Linked DNA regions of Drosophila melanogaster. The protein of the gene in region 3 interacts with the protein of the main gene of each other region in a pairwise test. Each region holds a gene or a part of one and is shown on either strand. Other genes may lie near its edges. The genes, in order: CG10252, ND-B14, CG1486 and CG15712.

Region 1 (3,192 bases), on a different chromosome or scaffold from region 3:
CGAAAAACTATAAATAAAACAGGCAAAATCTACAAACAAAACGAGAAACTTTGATAAAAAGAATTTTGTGACTGAAAAATACCGGAGTTAGATAAAATCAATGGTTCCGAGTTCCAGTGCCTTTAAGCGAGCACTCGAACCATTATCTTGATAACAGCGCTCTGTTAAGAGAAAACAACGGTTGAAACAAGATGAGCATTTGCCCGCGAAATTGAAATGGGATAGTCTAAATACAAATTCAGTTACTCTCAATTCCGTAAAATAGTAACGCGTGTTGTTGTCTGCCTAAAAACTCACCGTTACGTTGATATAATAATGTAAATGTAAATGTGCTTTTTCCAAAAATTTCTATTATCAAATGTTAATTTGACACATCGTTCAGGGACTACTTGTATTTTAGACATGTACAGAGCCAAGTGTATCACATCATAGGCGCACTAGCATCAAAATGCTCCCTTCCTTTTCCAATAAAGGTAACGCTCATTGCGTTCTACCAAGTTAAAACAAATTCAATCTCATTTTAATACCCCGTTAAGCATTTTCCATAAACAATGAAACTTGGTTTAAAAAGAATTGTTTATTCACAAAAATTTTAGCATATATTTCTTCCAATATTGCACTTGGTCTACATATTGTCACATCTAACTATCATAGGCGGAGCGAACTGGTGGTGGCGCACACCAAAGGAGTAGCCCGGTCCACTCTTGCCAGGACGATAGTACATGAGGTCGTAGTAGTTGGGTCCAGGTCCGACATTCTCGCCCGGAATAGTGGTGCGCGGCTGCATCGAGTATATCGGAGCACGTGTCAGTTTGACATTGATATCACCACCGCCATATGCAGCCGGACCCGGAGAATTCGTCTTGTTCAAAATCTTTGTTTGTAGTCCCCTGAGATACAGGTACAAATAAAAATAGGCAACTTAGTAAAGGAATAACTATGGTAGGATTGAAATACGCACATGCTATAGCTCGGGACTCCAGGACGAACGGCATTGACCTCGTACTTGTAGGCATTGGGACCGGGACCATCCTTCTTGAAGTTAAAGTCCGTTCGTAGGCCCATCGAATACGAAGGAGCATTAACCCCCTTAAAGAATGGCCTATTATGAACATCGTGTGCTCCCGGACCGGGACTGCTTCGCTTATCTACGATTAAGCAATTTAACCAAAAACGTTCTTGTCTTCAGTACTAATAAGTTATCTTACCGATGACATTGGTTCTGGGCGCCATCGAGAACTCCAAACCCTTGCTCGTGCCATAGCGAGTCAACTTGTCCACCTTGTAGGCCCCTGGACCAGGACCCAGATCCTCACCAGGAGCACGGGTGCGCATGCCGAAAGAGTACTGCGGCAACCGCTGTTTGCGGTTGTCATGCTTATCATAGCCCACAGTGGGGGGCAGCATGTAAACGCCGGGTCCAGGGCCTACAAAAAGCATGTATAATATATTATTTACCACATTACAATTTTATGAATTCTCACTCACCAAAAGGTCGCACCGCCATTTTTGTTAGTTTTGTGCAATATTAGAAAGAAAATCTATTTTGAAAATTTAGAACCCAATATTAGGTGTTGGCCGAACAGATTCCAGTAGCAGAATGAGGCTTTCATAGAACTTCACATCGCAGCTCCATTCGAAGTCAGAGCCATAGCACACTTGTTATAGAAAAGTTTTACCACCGTAATTCCTTCACACATAACCCATTCAAATATTAATTACGTAATTCTTTTTATTCCGAAAATTTGATCATAATAACCTAAGTTACTTCAAGACATGGCAAAGTGATTTTAATAATAGGAGATTCGAATTTTATCGGAAAAATAAATTGTTTACGAAAATCAGCTCCAGATATATTGCTTTATTGAGCCAAAGGAACGCCTTATTTGCACACTCAAGGTTGTTTGCTATTTTGCTGGACAACTGGGCAGTACAGCTTATTCCACATCCATGGAGTTGTAAAGTTGTTTATACCTAGATCCCCGCCCGCTGCTTTGGAGCAGCATATCATTATGCTGTTCCCTAAGGGCCTGTTAAAAAAAAAAACACATATAAATAGTGACGGCTTAATCGAAAAATATAAAAAATGTTGATACCTTTGGATCGTATTTCTGATGCAAGTAGACCAATATTGGGCCATAAATCATATTGAAAATGCCGACAATGCGCATCAGCCAAGCAAATCCAAAGGTCTGGGCCAACTCCCCGCCAATCAGGGGAGCTATAAAGATGATAAAAATACACTTTTTTTTTTAGAAAAAAAAAAAAAACAATATCCACTTACCTAAGCAATAAGCCAGACTGACAGAGGTCTGCTGGATAGCATAGACTGTTCCGTAGCTGGACATGGAACTGCTGCCCTCACCCTGATCCTCCTGAGCCAGTGTTGCATCCACAAAGGTGGCCAAGAGTGGAACCAATGCGGCATCGATTACTCCAATACCCAGTCCCAAGGCAAAATGGGGCAGCAATAGTTGGGCCACCGTTGTAGCACTGGGTATCTGCAAAGTAAATAATATATTTGCAATATATTTCCAATTCAGGTTTTATAAAAGCAGGGCTCTCACCAGAATAGAGGCTACTCCCACCAGCAACAAACTGATACAGGACACCTTAACCTGACCATATTTGTAGGCAATGCTGCCGAAGAAGTTCGTGCCCACAAAGTAGCCCACAGAGTCTGGAATGAAAACGGTGCCCAGCTGCCACTTGTTAGGCTTTAGATACTGGATTAGCCAGATGGGCAGACAGGGCTCCAGCATGGCCATTGTTGAGGTTGAAAACCAAATGGCCAGCACAATGGCCAGGATCATTTTGCATTCGAGCAGCGATCGCCACTTGGGTCTATCCTCCACCACAACCTCCGGTTGCACCGTCAGATCCATGGTCAGGAGCTGGAGGCCCAAACTTAGGAACATCAGAGTGGAGAGAATGATAAAAGGCGCCGATTTGCCCATTAGGTCATACAGAATTCCACCGAATGGATAGCCCAGCAGCACACCCAATGCGATGCTGCCCAGGATGATGCCCATCACCTTGGAACGACGTGCCTCCTCCGGATAATGCTGGGCCACCAGGCTCATGCCGCATATGTTGATGCAAGCGGATCCCACGCCCTGCACAGCCCGGGCCACCAGGAGAGCCCAGTAGGATTCACCAACGGTGAAAACTGAAAGGTAAGTTTGGAGAAAG
Region 2 (2,928 bases), on a different chromosome or scaffold from region 3:
ATTTACTCTATCACAGGGCCAGCAAATCATCACCATGCCACTTACAGATTCCGCCAACATTCCAAGAAGGTGCATGGCATCGAACTGAGCGACGAGCAGTTGGCTGAGATGTTCCGCGAGAAGAAGGGCTACACCAATCGGCATGATGCATTCAACAAGTCGATTAACTCACTGGAGATTCCAGGCCTCACGGAAGACTGTTTCACCGAGCTGGAGAGCCTGGGCGTAGACTATGACGCCATAACTACTGATCTCTTTGCCAGCTCCGCCGCTCTGGACAACCTGCTCAATTTGATACCTTAAAAACAGGGCCACGATCAATCTACCTGCATAGAATTTACAAATTTAAACGGCACACATATTAGCTGACGAGAGCAAGAAGACTGTCTGCACTTTACAAATCGCCCTAACAAAAAATAGCATTTATACACCACAACTGTTTAAGTTTGAACAACTATTTTGCTCAACCGATTCAGAATCCAGATCAGAACATTCATTAGTATGTATTCACAGTGAAACCATGATATTTTTGAAGTCACAATCTCAATAAACAAGGACACACGCGTTTCTGAAGCGCACAAAACTCCCTTTGTTTCGTTTTACACTCTGTCGGAGTTTGTATTTAAACTATTTCAATTTGAATAACTAATTAACGCCCTGGATGAATTTTGAGAGGAAGTCGGTGGGCTTGGGATCCTGCGATTCTTTCCAGTAGCGCATGATATGGCCCTTCTGCTTCCAGATCTCCACGGATTCCTTAAGCTCCATTTGGCCCTGCGTAAGATAGTATTATCACCTGCAGCATAGCTCTCTTATGGATGCGTTTACCTTGATGACCAGCATGTCGATCACCCGGATGTCGGTCACATTGCGATGCTTGACGAACTCCTCGCGCAGCTTGTCCCGACACTGCTCCACGGTCATGGGGATGTCGTAGTCCATGACTGCAAGCGGACGGATGGCATTACATGGCGTCGGGATACGGATGCACACTCTGATGACATAACCAGGAGCACTTACCGATGTAGGGAATCTGGCGGTACCAGGCCTTGTACAGATTGAGGGCACGCTTACGGGCCTCCTCGCGGTCCACGGACAGGATGGGGCGCACCTGCTGTACGGCTCGCTTCACGGCTTCACGTCCGGCCATTTGATTTGTTTTTATTTCTTTCTGTTTTTCCTACGACCAAATTGCTCCAAGCAGAACAGTGTGACCGCAGTTCACTACGCACAAATGGACAAAACCAAAGTTTGGTAAAATGATTTTTATTTAAAAATGTTTTCTACTCGAAAATAATAGATGTTGCTAAATTCCTATAATAAAACTCATATCAAATTATGATCTTTAATACCCACATTATATTCCGCAAATTTGTAATGGATTTCCTAGCGCTTCAAAAGAAACAAATATAAACTTTTTTATGGATTAGGATTTGCTGCTCAGCTAAAATTAATACACTATTTTAAATTTATATCATTTTGTCAACTTGTACTATTGATTCTCTTAAGTAAAATGCTGATACTTTGAACTAGTTCCTAGCATTCAAGGGCATTTAATTTCGAGTACTTTAATTTCTTGCCAATACCAAACACACAACTTACTGAAAAGATTGCGATTTATTAAAGTGTACAACTCGCTGCCTTTTCCTTAAATCATAGGTTTCTTAAAATAATTCATAAGTCCAGGATCAGCACACCAATCGATAGGATATGTACCGTCCCGCCGTCTCAGAGGAACGGATGATCTTAACCACCTGGCCGCGCTTGAGTCCAAAGTACCGGGCCACGGGATCGCCCGCCTGGATCCTCATCAACATGTTCTCCTTCAGTTTGTAACGGCTGAGCAGCTCCTGCTTCTCCTCGACGGTCATGACCACGTGCTCCGGGACCAGTTCGTGCTCCGTGATGTTGATCAGCAGTTCGGATTCGAGAAACTGTTCCAGGATGTACTTGGGGGCCATATCTACGAGCGATTGCTTGGCGGAGGGCGTCATGCCGCCCTGCACCACAACGATGGCCCGGTGGATGTTCTCTTCCTGCATGCGAGTGCAGTACGTCTTGATTGTCTTGATGCCGATCTTCGGCTCCTCGGGAAAGAAGACGAACATCTGGTCCGTGGGATCGTCGTTGTGGGCCACCAAAACTATCAAATCGGAACGAGCAGGTCGCTTTTCGCTGGGTTTGTCGCCGAACATTTCCTTGAACTGCTCCAAGGTCTGGTCCAACTCGTCTTGGGTCACCAGGTAGCCCCGATCGTGGCTCAGCTGCATGATGGTCTTGCGAATGCGCCACAGCTTGTAGGTTTCCGCTTCGTCATCCATGGCTATTTCCAAAAATTAACAATTTCTAAATTATAAACAGAGCACGCGGATAATGTAGTAAGACCAGTGTATGCCGCTTCATAAAATACCTTACAGCGCCTGCAGCATAACAATTAAAAATACCAAAGAGCGTTTGATGGTCACATGTTTAGCGAATACTCGAACCTATGTATAAGAGCGTAACAGCCGTCACTTCTGTTCCACTGTTCAAGTACGGAGCACCCTATACGATCTGTACGGAGCAACCTTGTATGGAGCCCCTTTTAACGCGGCAGCTTGTACCTTGTATGAGGCGACGTGCAGGGGGCGCCCTGTACGTTTGTGCTTTTGAAATGAGAGCCAAACTTGATTTGTTGGAAATTATGTTGAAAATATAATTCAAATAGAATTGAAATGATATTTAGTATGTACGTATATTCTTGATCAGGATAACTAAGCGATCGCTGGACAGAATTGAATCCAACGATTGATTCACACAAAATTTCCATTGTGACCCTTTTTTAAGTGGGTAGAATTTGTATTTGTATTTAATAAATAAGAATTAAGATCTTGAAAGTTTCATTCTGGTTTCTGTCTGCTTAGTTATAAAATAGTTTAACTTAAAAGA
Region 3 (6,452 bases):
TAAAGCGCTAAAAAACATCCAACAAAAAATATTAAATAAAATAAAAATATAAAATTTAATTGCATTAGTTAGATGGAGAACTGTTGTTTTTTAATGGGGGCCAATAAAGTGACGAATGATGAAGGTGAATATGGTCATAAAAACTATCAGTACTTGTGTAAGTATGTAACCACACAAAATTAACTTTTCATACCATAAACTATATAAGAGAGGTTATGTGTCTAAAAAAAGTATCCTATTTGCATAAAATCATAAGCTCAACCATCATCTTTCCTTTAGTAATTTAACAACAATTGTAAATTTTTCGATCAAACGATTAAGATTTGTAAAAAAAGGTTGAGAAAATCGGATAAAAAGTTTGGAAACTATCGAGTTAAGTTTGGTGTATGAAAAAAAAAAACTTATCACATTGCCACGTTTCTAAACGAAAACATAACAATTAAAAAAATAACATTTTTAATCGGTTTAGGGAAATACAAACCAAAAGGGGAAGATATTACCATTTAGAGGCGAAAGGTCAACAAGAAACACATGCTTTCTCTTTCTAAATGATTTCACATTTTATTTTGTATAGTTTCCTTTTATCATATTTTGTGCAGATATTTTCTTATAGCAGCAATTTTTGTATAATAAATATATTTTTGTCATTTAATTATTTTCTTTCTCCGCGTTTTCTTTAATTTCTTTAGTTTACTGTCACTTAGCTTAACGAATAAGAATAGCGCAATTTATTGCTTCGCACAATTGAACATTGAAGAATTGCCTATATATATATAAATGTATATATATTATGTCTCTCAAAGGTACTTGCATCTGAATAATTATAAAAACAAAAAAATAAAAGCGTAAAGAGGACGAAGTTACGCACATTTCCCTCTGATCATAATCAACAATAATGGTGGGAGTAAAGTATAAGGTAAAATAATATAATATATAATGGAGATATATAAAAGATCATAGAAATAGCCATATACATATAAATACATAAAAGCAATTCAATTGGATCATATCATCATCATCTTTTCATCTTTTCGGGCGAACAATCATCCTCTTTGGAATTCTTTTCGTTTAAGTAGGGAAAGTGGAAATGAAGCCGTCCATATATATGGTAATCTGTCCAGTTTTTGTCTACGCGTTTCTGTTCAGTTCAAGCCTTGTTTGATATTGCTGCGTTTTAAGGCCTCTCCCACTGTGGAATCCATATTGCTGGCTCTGCCTTGATCTAAGTGTTTTCCTCTGCCGTTCAGTTATAGTTAATTTTGAAATATACTCGTACTTGTGTTATTGTTAGTTATTGTTAATTGCACTGCTGGCGGCCACTAACTCCGGAACGGTGGACGAGGCGGCACTGCTCTGACTGACGGTGCGGGCATGATCCACATGGTTTTGGGTCGGCGCCGCAGACGGAGCCGCTCCCGAGGCTGCTGGCATCGATCCCGAAGCTTCTCCCGACTGCACTGGCGTGCCCTCGCTCGCTCCGGATCCGTTTCCATTTCCGGGTACGGGCTCCACCGTGGGAAAGACGGGCGGCAAGGCAGGCGCGACCACGGGCGTCTGCACCATGGGTGTGGGAGGCGAACGATTCGCTGGCAACTGATGAGCAGTGGCTCCGGTCATCTGCATGTGGTACCTTTGGAGTGTAGATTGATGAACATTAAACAAGGACACAATATCAAACGATCTTTGGAACCCACTTGTAAATGTTCTCGGTGCTTTCGACAACACCTTGGGTAAGATTGAGGCTCCGCCCCTTGATGCCCGACTCCTTGGCCGGTGGGGACCACCAGTTGAAGACGCGTCCCACCACAGGCACGTGGCGCAGGATGCCCTCCTGCCAGAGCTTCTCCTCCGATTCGCGCTGCAGATCAGCGGTAACCGCCTCAATGCCCTGAGCGTACAAATAAATTAACACATGTTACATTAATCCAGTACGAGGTGGTAGCCAACCTTTTTAACAATCTCCGACATGGTGTCCAATACCCGCGAGTTTTCCTGGACGCTCTTGCCCACCGTGACCACCAAGTCTAACAACTCTTCGACCTCCGTTTCATGGGTCACCATTCCGAATCGCACACAAATCAGACCATCGGTGCCTTCGCCTAATGAAAAGGCATTGTCCGTGGATTTCAGGGCCTCCACCAGGTCGATGTTCAGCTTGTTTAGCTCTGTTTTGGCCTGGTCCGTCAGCAGGGACTCCCAGCCCTCGGGCACGAAGCGAACACCGCCCATGCCCGCCCATTCGGGCAGTGGAACGAGGCGCAGCACGTCGCTGCACTCCACCAGATGAATGAACCGTGCCTTGTGCTTGATGGTCGCGCGCAGGATGTCCACATGTGCCTCTAAGCTCTGAGCGAAGCTCTCCAGGTTCTCGGAGCTTGGCGGCTGCTCACCCAACCCCAATTCCAGCGGACAGTAGCGAATGCAGCTGCCGTGCGTCGGGTGTTCAATTACCTCAAAGTCAAACTGGAAGAACATGGTGATTAGGCTCATACAAGGAGATGATTAATTCACACTGCATACATTGGGACAGTCGCGTTGCAAGATTTGACCCAGCCAGGAGTTGAGCCGGTCGAAGTAGGAAGCATTGTTAATCTTCTCTAGCGGCTTGAGGCCTTCGGCCGTTTCCCGCTCAGCAGCGGCAGCGGCGGCGGAAGAGCCACTCCCGCCCAGTGGAATGGTGGTGCTGCCGTCGAACTGATAGGCGACCACGGGGGCGGCGGCATCAAAAAGCGCCTGCACATCAAAGGGGCTCTGAATGACGTCCGACAAAGAGGCTCCGGTCTGCGCTCCTGGAGTATGGCTCTGAAAATGCCAAGGTCCTTTGGTAAACTAAAAACATTATCCATAAACGTGTGTGCAATAATTTACCAACACCCGGATGCCCTCACACTTGGAGGCAATCTCGAAGAGAATACTGCACGTCTGGAAGGCCACATGCAGACGCTCCGCAATCGCCTTCCGGCCCAGCGCCTGCAAACTGGTCCACAAGGACAGGGCATTAAGACGACGCGACAGTATGGGATCGGATTCGAAGGCACTCAGAGCGCTGTTCTGCAGCGGACGGTGCAGCAGGACGATGGGCAGACTGGGCACACCCAGCCAGCTGCCCAAATTCAGGGCCATCGAGTGGAGTACCTCCTCCACATGGCCCTGATTTTGGGCGCACACCAAGGCGGCCAGTCCGTGGCCACTGGCGTGCAGCCACATGTTGTGCGCCTTGCATACGTCCCTCAGCCGGAGCAGGTTGTCCACATAGCCACACAACGAGGCTCCAATGTCGGCGACCACCAGCAGCGGAGTCCTGTTATTGCCCACATCCTGCTGAATTTGCTTTTGCAGCAGCGTCACATCCATTGTCCCGGACTGACTGTGCTCCGGAATGACCTTAATAGCCTCCAGCGGTATGCCCAACTGGCGGCATGCGTAGTGCAGCCTCATCGGCGTCGTATTCTCCGAGATGTAAAACGTAGGCTGCGCCAGGGCGGGTATGCCACCCTCCAAGTACCCCGGACACCTGGCGACGATGGCCAGTCGCACCGTACGCAGCACCGCGTCTGCATTGTCCGCATGGAAGCTGCTCGCCGGGTGGGCAAAGTGAAACAGCGTGCCCAACCAGCGGGTGGCGTCCCCGGAAATGCTGTTCGTCACCCGGAGCAGTTGCTGACGGTCCAGATGCGACAAATAGGCCACAATGCTGTGCGATATGAGAGCCAAGTGGGAGACGTCATCCAGGGCGGGCAGCGGGAACTCCGGATCATCGTCGCTGTCCGTGTAAGAAACCAATTGCTCCAGCGACTTAAGAATGTCGGAGGGCACGCGATGCTTCGCTGGCAGGAGGTCCTCGCTGGTCACCCGCTCCCCAGCCTCTTCCTCGTTCTCGACGGGATTTGGGCTCTCCGGCGTGGTCGACACCTTAACGTTCTCTAAGCGCTGCAGCACCTGCGAAGATCGCAGCTCCAGCTCCGCCAGGCCCGATCGAATCTATGTGGCGAATACATGGCTAATTAGGTGGGATAGTGGACAAGGTAAACAACAGCGCTCCAGAAGTTGACGTGTCTTCCGTCGTCGTCAGCAAAAAAAAAAAAGATAGAAGCAGGGCGAAAAAAACCAAACACTCACACTGGAAGCGGCGATTTCGGCCACCGCTGGCGTTGATTGGCCCGGATCCGGCTCTTGGTCTACGAGTGGGCTCTGGCCGGGATCGTCCACCGATCTACCAGCCGCTGACATGGTTTCAGTGCGGTCTAAATCACTTTTAACTTATCGCCTGCGATGCAAAATAATTGTTTTCGTTTCGTGCCACTGCGTCTGTGTGGGTGGGTGTGTGTGCGTGTGTGTGTGGGGCGGGCGAGTGTGTGTGTGTGTTGATGGAAGAGAGGCTGATGTGGAATGGTGTGACCGTAGTGGGTGCGTCTGACTAAGATCGCAAATAGTGTGCGATTGTTGGCCCATGGTTCTGGTGATGGAATAGGTCGCAAGGAAGTTGGAAAACTATTATAATATCCGCCACTAAAAGACGTTGGACAGCAGCACACAAACGTACATACATAGCACCTACTCGTAACCTTAAACGACGAGTTTTCACAGTGGTTTGTGTCACGGTTTGTGTCTCAGCGATTTTGAAGACAGCACCGCACGGTCATACTACACAGCCATCGATAGTTGCGGAAAACTCATCGATGCTGCGAAAGTGCGATAGTATCGAATAAACATGAGTGTGTGCATGAGTGTGGGAATTTATTAAACAAAAACGAAACGCGGACAAACTATATTTATGTAATAAACACTAAGCCGCAGCGCCAACGAGTAATGAACAGTCCACGGCCAGGTCGTACTATTCAGGCGAACGCACCTCGCAATCGACTGCAATCAAAGTGCAATAGCTCAATCAATTGATTCGTTTTGCTCAACCAAAAACAAAATCTATTCCCAAATCGGTGCGATAGTTGCCAAAATATAAAAACTACACTACGCTAAAAAAAAAACAATACACTCACACACTGGCGTACAAGACAACAAAAGAGAAGAAGAAGAGCAGACGCCAGATATAAAAAGCCCCCAAAAGAATTGGAAATAAGACCATACCCCTCCTTCTCCCTTGAAAAGGGACCTTAAAACTAGGCGACACCGAATAATTGAACTCAAGTAAAAAACCGGGAAAAGAGAAAAACACTTTCAACAAAATATCTAGAAGCCTTGTTATCGATTTTGTTCCGGGTTTTTTTTGTGTGAGTGTGTGTTGTGTGAAGCGCGCCCGCGGGTGTGTGGGTGAGTGTGCGTGTGGCTCTCGGCGCGTTATCAAAAACAACAACAATTCGTTGCAAAAGAAAAAATAAAGTAGAGGAGGCGGAAGAAGAAGAGGAATCTGCTCGCACCGCGGTCAATCGCGGATCGTGGTCGATTTATCGAATTAATCGCCCCGAACAAAAAAAACACCGTACAAGGACTTGCACTATTTCCAATGATTTCGCTGCTGCAAATGAAATTCCGTGCGCTTTTGTTGTTGCTATCAAAAGTATGGACATGCATTTGTTTCATGTTCAATCGCCAAGTGCGAGCTGTAAGTACTGAAATTACCCGAAAGCAGGAGTAAATCACAAAACAAAAATAGTCCTATTTTTACCCGCCCGAAACGCCGAAATTATTCCCAACCCGCTCCCGCTATCGAAACTTAAGTACTACTGCTACAGAATAATAATAATAAAAGCGGCCGCACTGATAAGATTTTCAATGATACAGGTAGTACTCGCTAGAGAGTATGGATGTGTTTGCCTCGGAAATTTATTTGAAGATTTGCATGAATAGAAACGTTGAACTTAAAATTAATTCATATATTTTAGATCTTTGTATCTGCAAATCTCTCATATCAATAATATGGTTTCATTTATATTTTCAAATTATATTTACGTTACTTCAATGTGCGATCTATTAAATTTAGAGTAACTTTCAATATATACGAATACGAGATATTTATTCCTAAATATTTGCAAAATTTTAAATTTTCGTAAAGTTACATATATTTTTGCTGGGTACCGCTTAGCCAGTGACACCTGTCTTAAAGTAAGCCTCTATCAAGATTTTCCGCCACACGTTTAATGGTTCGTGTTCCACCGAATCCCCACCCGTCCCAGAAGTGCTGTCCACGGTTCTCCCATCCGCCTTATCGACCACCCGCCTTCAATACTCTCTCAGTACTGGGCCGGCGATTTTGGCCAGATATCGTGACGCGGCAGAGGCACTGACCTTCGACCTGCTTATATACATAGATATCGATGAATCCACATCAACATTATATGCTATTGCACAGCTAATAATTGTTAATTGTTTTGTAAAAGCATAATATATCAGTAAATTGGGGTTTCCCATGCACTAGTGATAACTTGGCCATTGAGCACCTCTAACATCTCCTTGCACCGCAACCCAACCCCAACAGAGTGTAGCGACGCATAGCC
Region 4 (2,854 bases), on a different chromosome or scaffold from region 3:
ATTCTCTGCAAATTGCGTCAGCAAGATGCATTGCCACCAACCAGAAGATTCAACAGATTTTTGTCATCGTGAAACGACCTGGATTCCTGTTGCACTAATGATGGCATATTGTGCGTGTGTGCCAGCATATGACGACTGGAGGATTTCCCCTTTTGCTGATTTTCCACATTGTACTGACTGCACATCAGGTGAAGAGATTGCAGCTAAGTCCCAAAGGTCATGTCTATACGATGATTTTGCGATTGTCTATTTACACACAGAAAATGGTACGAAGTTTTGAGTATGAGACTAAAATGTAAGGAATAATATAAAAATACAATAAACTATGTATATATAAAAGTTCACATATTTCACACATAGCTTATATGCAAGTTAAAGATCAGGCTAGATATAAGATGATGTAGATGATATAAGTGATAATTGATAGGTAATATCTAAAATAAATATTTTTATTATCCTTATGAACATACAAAATGTATCCTTTCGCTTTTGAAAACTATGAATCAATAGAATCTAGGACGTCTTGGGACCCCAACTGATTACCTCAAATACGATTTGAAGTATTTCATCCACGTTGATGCTCTTCTGACTCAACTTTTTTATGGGCGCCTGAAGATCTCTGGAAAGCTAAGATAAAGCGGAGCGTTATAAAAACTCGACTAGATACCTTTTGAAATCTTACTCTGGCACGCTGCACCAGCTCCTTGAACTCCTTATCCCTCAAAGCCTTGTAGAGTTTGGCGAATTCAGTGCTCTGTTTCGATTTCTGTGCTATCAAGGAATAGATTCTGGTCCTGGGTAAACTATGAATAACATCCCAGAGGAAGGTGTTCAGGTCGCGTCGCAGCATCAGTTCCACTGGTACAGTCCGCGACAGTTGATAGGCACGCAAACGTGTTGGCAAGCTGTCCACCAGTGTGGTAATGTCGTAGCCAGAACCGTAATCGCTCACATAGTTAATAATATTCACGAAATCCGGAGTGGCACGAACTTGCTGCCAAGTGGCTATGAACTCATCGCTGCGAACAAACTCCACTGCCTGGCGAAACTTCGGGTCGAAGATATAGTATCTGGCGGCAATAAAACCAATTCTGCGACGTGGAACCAAGGCTACGAAATCCTTGAGATCCTCTCGCAAGCCGCCAAATGCTGTTGCCCAACAACTAATTGCTGAGATCAAAAGAATAACCGACACGGAGGTGGAGAAAGTCATAATGAGACTCTTAGAGTTTTGGTAGCGGCCAAGCCTTTTATACTTTCGTGGGTACAATATTTACCAATGTCTTTGGCGGCGGGGGTGTGCCAGGTGCTAATTGTCAACTGTCACCAGTCTCATCAACTATTTGGACCGCACAAACTATTACACAGCCGAAAAAAACGCCAAATATCGTCGAATTAGTTCCACTTATAAATATGTGTATAGCTTTTACATAATATCTCATCTCATAAAACTAGATAGCTTTCATGCTTATTTAATCTCTTACAATATGTGTTTGTATTAATTGGCAAATGTTTATTCATGAATTATCGTAATAAAAACTATATTATTATTATTTTTTCCACTGCACACTTTCGCTTTCACCGACACTGGGAATAAGTACACAAACCACAATCTGTAGCCAGTATTCAAAGCAGCGACTTCGCACATGATAAACAAGATGCATGGTCAACAAACGTTGGCCAAACCACGATAAATCAAGTGAGACATTCTTTTGTCTGGCCCAAACTGACTGTAATTGCTCCCATTTGTGCATTAAAAATAATGATTGATTCAGACTCGGAATGCATTTCCTATCCCAGTCTGAATTGCCTATCCCACACAAGCTGAATACATTGTTCTGTTGTGTCTGCAGAAGTCGAAAAATTAGAATTCAATTGCGTGATTTATGCATTCGCCAAATTTACGAGCCTTCTGAGAATTCCATGCCTATTCACCCACCACCTCGAACCGAAGAAAACCAGACTTCATTGGAGTAAACCACAGAACATTTGCGTGGTCACACAATTTATTAAAGCGAAAGCTAATGTAGATTATAATTAATTGCTCAAATTTATGCTCGCACTTCCAAAAAAGCTGGAAGCAGCAAATTGAACATGGCACATTTGAATGAGAATCATTTTTGCACATTAACCATAAATTACAACACATATGGCGGCCCTCTATTTATAGATATGTATAAAAAGATATTTGCAGCTTTAAGTGTATAATGTCAGTACGGATATGCTTCCATTTAAACCAGAGCTTACTCATTAGTATATATTTGTGATAAGTAAATCGTGTGTACTGCATAATTTTATTTACAGCATTGCATCAATTGATGGTCAGTTGCATTCGACAGCTTCGAGATGAAGCTTATTCCAGCTCTGCTAGCATTACTGATCCTGGGACACGGAATATCTCTAGGATATTCGTATCTTCTAGAATGGGATTGTGGCATTTCGAAATATACCTACCGGATAACTGGCGGTAGAGATAGTCCCCTGATGCTCAATCCATGGTTAGCCTATTTGCATATTAACTCCAAATTCATTTGTGGTGGCTCGCTTCTCAATCATTGTAAGTATGTGAATATAGACTTTATTCAACTGAAGGTAAGTTCTTGAATACAGAGTATAGAATTTATTGAACTGAACTAAGTTATTAAATACATCGATTTTATAAACAACTCATGACTTTTTTAGGGTTTGTGCTGACAGCAGCCCATTGTTTTAGGGATAAGAATGCTAAGGTGTAAGTAATATCTTAACATGAAAAACTAAATCATTAATTAAGTAATTATTATTAAAGTTTAGTTCGATTAGGAGAGAACGATGCTAGTCAGAAAATTGATTGCAATGAGTCTGAATGTGCGGC

The links.
Region 1: the proteins of CG1486 (region 3) and CG10252 interact in a two-hybrid assay, tested with the Drosophila melanogaster proteins (one large-scale study listed by BioGRID).
Region 2: the proteins of CG1486 (region 3) and ND-B14 interact in a two-hybrid assay, tested with the Drosophila melanogaster proteins (one large-scale study listed by BioGRID).
Region 4: the proteins of CG1486 (region 3) and CG15712 interact in a two-hybrid assay, tested with the Drosophila melanogaster proteins (one large-scale study listed by BioGRID).

What each region holds. Positions count from the first base shown.
Region 1 is NT_033777.3:23,694,656-23,697,847, forward strand, and holds CG10252 (uncharacterized protein), read right to left. Parts: upstream 1,591-3,192; 5' UTR 1,508-1,590; coding exon 1,489-1,507; intron 1,428-1,488; coding exon 1,209-1,427; intron 1,149-1,208; coding exon 962-1,148; intron 891-961; coding exon 626-890; 3' UTR 566-625; downstream 1-565. Other genes in the region: prt (portabella), read right to left, coding at 1,938-2,030, 2,097-2,221, 2,285-2,501, 2,568-3,169.
Region 2 is NT_033778.4:10,896,644-10,899,571, forward strand, and holds ND-B14 (NADH dehydrogenase (ubiquinone) B14 subunit), read right to left. Parts: upstream 1,243-2,928; 5' UTR 1,151-1,242; coding exon 1,021-1,150; intron 945-1,020; coding exon 829-944; intron 775-828; coding exon 646-774; 3' UTR 501-645; downstream 1-500. Other genes in the region: CG12942 (uncharacterized protein), read left to right, coding at 48-303; Polr2E (RNA polymerase II, I and III subunit E), read right to left, coding at 1,689-2,321.
Region 3 is NC_004354.4:21,322,239-21,328,690, reverse strand, and holds CG1486 (uncharacterized protein), read right to left. Parts: upstream 4,646-6,452; 5' UTR 4,544-4,645; exon of another isoform or gene 4,457-4,543; 5' UTR 4,231-4,456; coding exon 4,120-4,230; intron 3,982-4,119; coding exon 2,869-3,981; intron 2,803-2,868; coding exon 2,521-2,802; intron 2,464-2,520; coding exon 1,948-2,463; intron 1,889-1,947; coding exon 1,695-1,888; intron 1,631-1,694; coding exon 1,288-1,630; 3' UTR 541-1,287; downstream 1-540. Other genes in the region: Dd (dullard), read left to right, coding at 5,462-5,560.
Region 4 is NT_033778.4:16,484,328-16,487,181, forward strand, and holds CG15712 (uncharacterized protein), read right to left. Parts: upstream 1,226-2,854; 5' UTR 1,214-1,225; coding exon 683-1,213; intron 628-682; coding exon 514-627; downstream 1-513. Other genes in the region: CG33458 (uncharacterized protein), read left to right, coding at 2,347-2,557, 2,683-2,731, 2,789-2,854.